Linked DNA regions of Tribolium castaneum. The protein of the gene in region 1 interacts with the protein of each later gene in a pairwise test. Links are inferred from orthologs where the notes say so. Each region holds a gene or a part of one and is shown on either strand. Other genes may lie near its edges.

What was found.
Region 2: the proteins of p115 (region 1) and CenG1A interact in a two-hybrid assay, tested with the Caenorhabditis elegans proteins (2 studies listed by BioGRID). The link is inferred for Tribolium castaneum from reciprocal best matches to the Caenorhabditis elegans genes uso-1 and cnt-2.

What each region holds. Positions count from the first base shown.
Region 1 is NC_087399.1:6,665,161-6,670,597, forward strand, and holds the start of p115 (general vesicular transport factor p115), read right to left. Parts: upstream 3,202-5,437; 5' UTR 3,119-3,201; coding exon 3,041-3,118; intron 2,984-3,040; coding exon 2,640-2,983; intron 1-2,639. Other genes in the region: radial spoke head 1 homolog, read left to right, coding at 3,452-3,812, 3,865-4,355.
Region 2 is NC_087400.1:2,514,082-2,519,509, reverse strand, and holds the start of CenG1A (centaurin-gamma-1A), read left to right. Parts: upstream 1-1,693; 5' UTR 1,694-1,767; coding exon 1,768-1,984; intron 1,985-5,428.

The DNA of each region.
Region 1 (5,437 bases):
TCAATAATTTTGCGTATATAGTGTTAATTACTTACAATAGAAAGAATTACTTTAAAAGTACGTGGTGGTAAATACTAGCGTTGACTTTGGTTCTGTAGTTTTTCGTGGTATAAAGTGTTTATTGTTGGAACTTGAAAGTGGATAAAAAGTGAAAAATATTTAAATTTTGATTACAAAGTGTTATCAAACAGTTGTCTAATTAAAGATTATAAGTAATGGATCACAGCGAACACAAAGTTTGGCTCAAGAAACCAATAAATTAGTGAAGTGTTATGAATTTTAGGTTAGAATTTTCCACTGAAAAAATCATGAAATGCTGCGGTAAATCTACAAAACTACAATAAAGATTAACAACTGCTGATACATTTAAACGTAAATTATGCCAAAAGGTAGGCTTTTCAATGTCTTTGTAATAATTTTCCAATAAAGAAAGTGAACCAAACAGTCATTCGTTATTCGTGTTTTCCTCGTCATCTCTCATTTGTCAACATAAGTTTCTTGCATCAAAGATGAAATAATCATTCCGCATAGGCAATGTAATAATTGTGAAGCCCCAAAATTCGTACAACGCTCAAAATATCCGAATAAACATTTTCCCGCCATTTATGGTTACTGTTTTCGACCTAGCTCAGTGGCGCCCCCAACGGTAATTTTACTTCCGAATACCTCCTTCCTTGTGGTAAAGGTTAGTTTACCGATAATAAGCGACTTCATCCGATCAAACACAAACATTATTAAATGGGTGAAAATATCTTAATTTAGACCGTTTTCGCGTGCTTTAACACGTATTTCTCTGGTGAAAGCTGTAAATTCAGTAAATTCAGTGTAGTTTTTACTTTTTAATAAATCGAAACCAAAAAATTAAGAAATATTCTAAAATAGATCGAAATCGATCTTATTTCATCTGCTTCAGTCGACTTATTGATAGTTTCTGAGAGAAATTTCGCCAAAATAAGCCGACGAATCACAAAACCTGATGGCAGTTGGAGTTGTCTTTACTTATTTTGAGCCCCTAAGTACATTAAATTTTCAATAATTTTGTAAAATTTCAGTTAAAACCGACCGTAAATTTATCTAATTACAAAAAAAGTACTCTACTATATTGCATTTATAAGCATTTTAGTTTGTTTTACAGTTAGGAATGCTAGCACTTTCGTTAAAAATAAGCTTGAAAATCATTAAATTAAACAAAAAATAATGTTATTTTTGTCTTAAGCAAGTTTCAATCAATAAAATCGATCAAGAAAATTATAAAAATAATTCGAAATTGATGGTAATTTGGTCAAAAATAATGTTATTTTTATCTTTTTTTACCCCCTAAGTACGATTTCGAACTAGAATTTCAAAATTTTTGAACGATTTCGCTCAAACAGGTCTAAAAATTACCAAGTTATGCAATTAATTGTACTATTCTTGCTCTTCTCGAGCGGTTTTACTAGTTTTCCAGTCAGAAACGAAATGAATTTACAAAATTTCAATAAAACAAACTGAAAAATTTTTAAAGTAAAAACTTATTTTTTTCCAAAAACTAGGCTAAAATTGAAAACTAAAACTCATAAAAATACATGATTATGTAGTTCGTTTTAGAACACAATTTCGACAAAAATAAACAATTTGCGTAAAAGTAGTGTCATTTTTATAATTTTCCAACCTCTAAGCACGTTTTCAAAGTAAAATCTAAAGGTTTTTTGCGAGATATCGCTAAAATATGCCAAAAAACACTACAAATAAAATATACAATCAAATTTTTGTTGTTAATTAGCGCTTTAGCTTGTGATTTAGTCAGAAACAAAATTATTTTCTGTATTTTTAGTATGTTTATCAGCTAAAAACTTATTTTTTTGCAAAAAACACAGTATGTCTGTTTAAAAAATCGAAATTAATTTTGACTTAGCTTTGTTTTGCTAAAAACTAGAAGAACAAATCAAAATTGATATTTGACTCGATTTACCTTGTTATTTACAAAGCCAGTAGATATACTGTATATCTACTGGCTTTGGTTATTTATTGAAATTTTGTCAAAAATAAACGAAACATCAATTTGGTTAAAAATAATAATGTTATTTTTGACTTTTTCTCATCTCTAAACTTGTTTTTGAATAAAAAATCTTAGGGTTTTTGTCAGATATTGTTAAACTAGTTCGAAAAATACTTAATTAAATGATAACTCATTTTTGCTTTTTGGACCGTTTTAGCTTATTTTTTGGTTAGAAATAAAAATAGTATTTCACGAGATTTCACTAAAAATAGTACGTCTAAGTTCATTTTTTATTTAAAAACTTTAGTTTTTTGTCAAAACTGCTTAAAACAAATTACCGTTATTTTGACCTGTATCACTCTATTTAAACCGTTTGAAAATACATATATTAGTCAAAATTGCAAATTTGCCCAAAAATAGTGTTATTCTTAACAATTTTTAGGTGTTTGAGTACGTTGTTGAACTAAAATGTTGGTTTTTGTGAGAGAAAAACTACTCACTTAACTCAAACATCACATTATTTCTGATTTCTATCGAACTTTTTTCAAATATAAACACACTTAATTTTAATTTTCAAAATTTCGTAAAATCACAGAGTAAGAATCTCCACAAGGAAAGAGGTGCAAAGGTGTGATCAGTCATTAGTTAAAGCAATTATTACCTAAAGTCGTACTCCTCCAAAAAACTCAAAACCAGGGTCACATTTTCGGCATTTTTGATAAACATTTCAGTGAACTGCTCCCCCACATTGACCTTAATGTTTAAATTACTCTCACTCTCCTCCTCAAAAACCTCCTTCGAGGTGATATTACACAACGTATCGAGACAATAGCCGATGATTTCGCAGTCAGAGCGGTCCAACTCCAGGACCTGTCTCAACACATCCATGCCTTGGGCCCCCACTTCGAGGCGATATTTCCGAGACAGGGCCTTAAGGGCCCGACATGCGTCGCGACGGTCCTCCAGTAACGTCGAAGTACTGACCCGACTCACAAGCCGCTCCACCTAAAAGTGGGGTTAGGGGCGGTCAGGACAGCTGTTTGGGGTTTCGGGGGCACTTACGGTCTCGGCACCCGTGGGCTGGGTGCCGGGGGCCGGGGCCCCCAGCACCGACTTCAAACCGCTCCGGAAGTACTCCATTTCACGAAATTAACACAAATTGTTTGAAATTTTTGACATTTTGACGTGACATGTATACAAAGAAACGTCAATAGCGCAGTTTTTGAAACGCACAAAAGGGGGCACTTTTTGTGTGTTAATTTCAAAGACATAATTTCAAAGATATTAGAGGTATTTGGTTAATTTTCTATGTTTGGACGTAGCTCAGTGGCGTTTTATAATTTTACTTCTGAACTGAAAAAGTTTGGGCAGGTTTATGATACAGCGACCTGTTATTGTCCGCTTGGGTTAGTGGGTGGAAGATGGCGCCCTCAGTCAAAGTGTCACATAAATGTCGCGTTTTTTGGCGGGAATATGAATAAGGGGTTTCAAGAGGGTGAACACGAGTTTCTTTTTCCAAATCGGGACAAATATTCGGGTCACTTTTGCGCTCATGTTAGTGGTTTAGCATGGAGGCAAGGCCATGGTGTTTACGAAACGCACGATTTGCAATTTTACGAAGGAAACTGGAAGGACGATAAATTAAATGAAAACGAAAATGTGCGCATTATGTTCAAAAATAACGACACTTTTGAGGGAAAAATCAAAAAGTACAAGTACAACGGTCCAGGGACATACACTTTTCGTAGGGGAGGCCGGTTGTGTTGCGAATTTTTGAATAATAAGCCTTCGGGGAATGTGATTTTTATTGATTACAAGGGACACCTTTGGCATGGTAATTTTTCAGTTTTGTGATTACGAATGAAATAAATTTAAGTGTAATTAAGGTAAGGCCGGCCCTGAGCACACGCTGCTGTACCGTGAGCACATTTTTTCGCAAGAACTGGACCGAGAAAGGGGCAAAGGGCGCCCTATAATCAAAGAAACAACAATTCCGAGTGAAGAAGAAAAAGAAGGCGAAACGAGTGAAGTGGAAACACCAGACTTGAAAGAATTAGAGAGACAAGTCTTCGCCAAAAGCACCAAAACCAAGTCCGTTATTGATTTCGAAGACTCTGACTGGTTCAGAGACTACCAGAAGAACAAAGAAATGAAGCAAACCGTCTTTGAGAAAATTTCAACTCTGGGAGTTTCGAGCCTCACCGATGACGAAAAAGCGTGGTACAAAAAATATTACACGAGTGCAAAAATTCGCGAAGATTGGAAGAAGCCGAAGAAAATCAACCACGATTTGTTGCGCCAACACTTCGATGAAGAATCGAAAAATACGTGCGCGCCAAGTTGCATTTTTTATGCTTCAAATTTTGGTGAAGGCTAAAATTAATTAAAATTTATTTGTGATTGGTATCGGGACACCTGGGGTCGTGGGCGACTCGAATTTGAAAAATAAAGATTTTGTGATAAATTTGAATATAATTAGGTTCTTGTGTTTGACTCCCAGTCGGGCTAAGTCTGAAATATTGGCCCCAAACCAATTATAATTATTTATTTAAATCGTCGGGAATTAATCATTTTGTAATTTATTTATTTTATACAACAAAGTAGCTGTTTATTTAGGTTTAATTTATTGCACCAGTAGTTTTTATTTAAATACAATTTTCCATCTGTTTGCCTTAAAAAATCAACAGTTTCAAGCTGGGCTATTATTAGAAAATAATGTACGTAACAGATGGCCGAAATTAGCAACAATTCACCTGCCAATAATAATAAGTTGCGGTAGAATATTTAAATTGGGCGATTTTTACTAATTGGCCACAAATTTAACAAAGTGATGAAATCGTGCAAAAAATGGGCCATTCGAGCTGTAGTGCAACTGATTAAGAAAAAAACTTAGCTCAGTTTTAGTCCGTTACTATTTTTTTACTAATTGATTTAGTTAATTTATTAATTAATCTTGTTGCTTACCCGTAATTAATTTTTGTTTAGTCACCGTATAACGTACCCTCGAAAAATCAAGAAATAAATCTTGTTTTTTAAACTCTCTTATTAAAAGTGCAAAAAACGACATTTGGTTCTGTTTAATTGTTTCCTCATTTTTCTTCTAGTTTTTGGTTGATTTTCAGCCCATAATTTCGATAGTACGAGCTTTAAACCTTTTAGTTTAAATTAAATATTTAGTGTCGTCGGAAAACCTGTTTTAATTAAGTATTTATCAAATTGATAGTACATATTTTATACAATAAGTATTTAATGATAGCACGAGCCGTAAGCGAGTGTCGCAGTAAGTATAAGTATATGTAGGTATACTTAGTGTCTTAGCATCTAGCTATTAAATTCGAGCTGCATACACTATTTTTTCTACAATGAGATGGCTCACAATAAAAAAATATAATTTTATTGTGAAACGGTCCAGGCAATCTACTAATTGCTGATATTCAGATTTCGTCTAAGACCAAATAA
Region 2 (5,428 bases), on another chromosome or scaffold:
TTACGTTATTTTGAGCCAAAACTATATAATTTTTTGCTTTTTGTGGACTTTCAGGCATGATTTCACTACAAGAGGCCAAAAAATCACAAATAATTAGGCAAACAATTTTTAATGAATAGTTTAAAATCATTAACTTTGCCTTTTTCAAATTTTCAAGAAAATTTTTTACTTAGAAAGCTCGATTTTCATACAAAATATTGCTCAAATTGATCTAAAATTAATCATTCAAGTTCGTAAATGGCATTATTTTTACATTTTTCGAGAATTAAGCGCAATTTTTAACAAAAAAATAGCATTATTTTCGAGTTTTTCGTTAGATTAATATTGTTTTGGAGTGAGAAACTGCCATATTTTGGGAAATTTTCTCAAAAAATGACTAAATTACAGCAAAATTGATTGAGAAACTCAATTTTTTTGAATTCCTTGTTATAAAACGCGTCAAAAAATCACAGAGAAAAATTGAAAATGACATTATTTTGGTCTTTTTCGTTAGATTTTATGTTTTTGAGTGAAAAACTCCCTGATTTTGTCAAATCTTGCCAAAAATGATCAAATTACAGCGAAATTTATGACATTTTGGGCTTATTTATGGTGTGCCTTTTTGCGGTAAACTCATTTTTTTGCGAAATTTTGCAAAAAATTGCTCAGTTACGTCGACAATTACGTTATTTTGAGCCAAAACTAAATAATTTTTTGCTTTTTTTGGACTTTCAGGCATGATTTCACTACAAGAGGCCAAAAAATCACAAATAATTAGGCAAACAATTTTTAATGAATAGTTTAAAATCATTAATTTTGCCTTTTTAAAATTTTCAAGAACATTTTTTAGTTAGAAAGCTCGATTTTCATACAAAATATTGTTCAAATTGACCTAAGACTAATCATTCAAGTTTGTAAATGGCATTATTTTTACATTTTTCGAGAATTAGGCACAATTTTTAACCAAAAAATAGCATTATTTTCGAGTTTTTCAGTAAGAAACTCACATATTTTGGGAAATTTTCTCAAAAATGACTAAATCACAGCGAAATTGATTGAGAACCTCAATTTTTTCGCGAATTTTTTGTTATAAAACGCGCCAAAAAATCACAGAGCAAAATTGAAAATGACATTATTTTGGTCTTTTTTGTTAGATTTTATGTTTTTGGGTGAAAAACTCCCTGATTTTGTCAAATCTTGTCAAAAATGATCAAATTACAGCGAAACTCGTGGCATTTTGAGCCTATTTTTAGAGTGCCTATTTGCCAATAACTCTTTTTTTTGCGAAATTTTGCAAAAAATTGCTCAGTTACGTCGACAATTACGTTATTTTGAGCTGAAACTATGTAATTTTTTGCTTTTTTTTTATTTTCAGGCATAATTTCACTACAAGAGGCCAAAAAAATCACAAATAAAGGTCGAGGTCATATTATTTTGGCCTTTTTGTTGGATGTGTCTCATTTCAAAAATTTTTGAAAAATGGCAAAATATGAGTGAAATTTTAATCAAACACTTATTTTGTGCTAACTTTCGTCGACTTTGGCACGAAAATAAAAATCAATTTGAAGTTTTTTATACTTATGTTGTTTATTAAACACCTCCCTCGCCTTCGCCTCGTGCTGTAAGCGCATGCGCAGTCCACAGCACGCGTTTTTGCGCCTACTAGAGAGGGGGACAAACGCACCTCAGCTCCCCTACTTCTCTCCACACACTTTACTCTCGTTCAACTCGCGAGTGATTCCGGTATTATCCCGAAAATGCCGCTCCGGTGAATAAAAAGTGCACGTGATGGTGGATTTAAAAGGTGAAACGGTGCCAATAACACCGAAAAAATCGCGTGGAATTTCAATGACAACAGTCAAAAATTGGCTAATGCCCGAACGGAAAACTCAAGACACGCCGAAATTTCAACGAATGCCTGAAAGTTTTCTCCGGTCGATCCGGAGGCGTTCTTTGAGGGTGAAAAGAACGAAGTCGTTGGTCTTACCGGAGAAAAGAAAGTCCGGTGAGTGTGTGGATAGAGATGCCACTCCGGTGTGTGTTTTTTTGCGAGGGAAATCGGTGAAAGTTAGCGCCAGGATGGTTATTATCTACCTGTTGGTTGTAACGACGCAGAAATTGGTGTCACGTGTGTGTTTGTGCCAAATTTTGTGGTTTTGTGGATATGTGAGTGAGAATAAATTGCGAGAAGTTGGCACCAAGTGGAAAAATTGTGAAGGAAATTGCCAAATTTTTTCTTGTTTAACAAAAATATTTTCAAACTAAATTTTGTTTGGACACCAAAAATAAAAAATAAAACAATTTTTCAAAAAAGTGTATTTTGAGGCTAATTAACTAGTAACTGAAATTTTTTAAAGGAAATGAAGTAAAAAATATTACCGTTAAAAACTTCCTTTGAATGATTTTTCAAAATTTTGACCAAAATTTTTCTGAAAACAGTAATTTTGAAGTCATTTTTTGAACAACTAGTGACGGGTTTAAAAAAAAAGAATAAACAGAGGAAATATAATTTTTGAGACCGGATTTTCCAAATAATCATAATTCGTGAATTTTCATTTTTTAGTTAGAAAATTTGGTCAAAATTTTAAATTTTTGACTTTTGAGTTAATGATCAATTAAAAAAATTACTCCGGAAAACGCTGAGCTTTATTAGATTACTTTTAAAAATTTTGGCTCAAATTTAGAGAGGGAGTGAGTTTCATTATTTTGAAAAAAAGATGAAAAGACACTAAAAACCGAACTAAAAATTTTTCTGAATCTATACATTTTTTTGCGAGAAATACGCTGAGAAGAATTTCCGAACTTTTTTCAAAAGTAATTTTGAGTGATTTTTTGAAATAATTGTGGAGAATTTTGAAGGAAATCAACAACAAGGCAGTGAAAAATTGCGCTTTTTCTGAAAATTCTTATGTACAAAGTTTTTTTTCTTAAAGAGAAAAATATACAAATCGGTAAAATTTAAATTAATAACGAATTTTCAAACTAATCAACTCGTTCATTGGAAAGGAAGTTGCTATTTTTAAAAAATTAAAGCTTTTTTAGTAAAGAAAACGATAAAATTTTGATTTTTGTAAATTTTGGCTTAGATTGGAGTCAAAGCAAACGATTTTTTGAAAAAAAAATATTGTTTTGGAAATTTTGTATTTGGTTTTGGAAATAAACTAATTCAAAATATTTAAAAAAATAGCCAATATATGTTTTTTTTTTGGAAAGTATTGTCAAAATTTGCTGTTTTTATCATTTTGGAGCTGAAACATATTTAGTTCAGAAAACGGTAAATTTTGCTTCAAATGCCTTTTTTCCAAATTTTGACTTTGGTTTTTGAAACTAAATTTTTTGCTTTAATTTTGAAAATTAATTTAACAAAATTTAACGATTTTTTGCACCAAAAATTGAGTTTTTAATGCCCTTTTTTTTACAGTTCGAATTTTTTGAACTTACGGCTAGTTTTTCAGTGTAAGTTTCCACATTCCATATTGACAGATAACGAATTTCTTGTCAAAATCTCATTCAGAGGGGGAATAAATTAAATAAGCCCACAGATTTTGGGCGGTTGTCTTAGCAACGCCATAAACAAAGGGCCCTAACACGGTTTCGCTTTAATTTGAATTCAGGAAGTAATTATGGCCACAGGGGTTACATAATTGATTTTTTTCTCAATTGAAAAACATTAGTTTTAATGGATTTTTAACTACTGAAAAATTACAGTAACGTTCTCTTATTTTATTATAATATCAAACAAAATCAGACTGTAAAACACCATTGGCGACATTGTTATCACTTGGTGATACGACGTAACGATAATGTAATAATAGAACGGTACTCGGGTTTGTCTTGTGGGTCGTTGAAACGAGGCCGAGGCAAATTTTCAAATTCTTGGAAAGCGAAAATTGCTATTTATATTTTTCACTCAGAAATTGGGATTATTTGCGCAAAGTCTTCGATAGTAGAAGAGCAGCTGTCGTAACTTTACTTCACTATTGTGCTATTCATTCGAGTCAGCTGCTGCTGAGGAGGAACATCTCGAAAAAAATTTTAGTTCGATGAACTTGAAGAATTTTTTCTTCTTGCCGTTTCCGTTTCCGTCACAGGTCGAAATGATCGGTGTTTAATACACCTTGTCATTGCTTCCGGCTAGTGAATATTATTTCAGGAAATGCAAGACTCGGACAGGAAATTAAATATTCATTATAAAAGCCGGTGTCGTGTTTCAATTGAAATGTGCCTCAAGTCGTAATTCTACAGTTGGCAAGACTGTTATTTCGCTGCTGACAGGTTGATTTGCTGCCGCTTTCCACGCAACTAGCTTGCAAATATTTTTTATTTTTAATCTTTCAGAAAATCGCAAAAACTACAATTTGGTCAAAATTTCATCAAAAAATTGCAAAATCTACAACTAGATTCTTAAAAAATAGTCATTTTTTTAGTCTTTCATTTAATTCAGCTATTTTTTCTTTATTTTTAACTCATAGTTAATTTTTGATTTCAATTAGTTTTCAAAAGTATATTAAGTATATTAATTTATAGAAGTGCCATTAATTTAATCTGCAATTTTACGTTATATGGGCGTACTTTTTATTTAAATTTTCGTTTATTGTGACTTTGAGAATTTTTTTTTTTTTGGTAGGTAGGTAAGTAAATTTTTTGGCCAAGTTGTTTTTTTACACAATTTTGTCTTAATTTGGACAAAAGTTTGATCAGCGCTAGATATTCAAGGAATAAAAAGCGCTACAAGTCGTTTTTCGTCATTTTCTTACTTATTACACATTGCAAAAATAAAAATTGACCAAATTTTGTCTAATATCTCCAAAACTACGAATCGTACAACAAAAATAAATACAGATTCGTAATCCTTGGACGATTTTACGTCAGATAGGCATACTTTTGACTTAAATTTGCGCTTATTGTAGCCTCGACATTTTTTTTATTAGTAGGTGAGTAAGTAAAAATTTGGACCAATTTGTTTTTTCCGGATTATTTGCACACTTTTGCGTCAATTTGCTCAAAACTTCCGCCAGCTATAGATAATCACATTATAAAGGGCGCTACAGATCGTTTTTGGTCAATTTTTTATTATTTATTTATTTATTTATTTATTTATTACTTTTACCTGACCTGACCTGACCATATTTTGCCTAATATCTCCAAAACTACGAATCGTACAACAAAAATAAATACAGATTCGTAATCCTTGGACGATTTTACGTCAGATAGGCATACTTTTGACTTAAATTTGCGGGTATTATGACCTTGACATTTTTTTATTGGTAGGTGAGTAAGTAAAAATTTTGACCAATTTGTTTTTTTCGGATTATTTGCACACTTTTGCGTCAATTTGCTCAAAACTTCCGCCAGCTATAGATAATCAAGTTATAAAGGGCGCTACAGATCGTTTTTGGTCAATTTTTTATTATTTATTTATTTATTTATTTATTACTTTTACCTGACC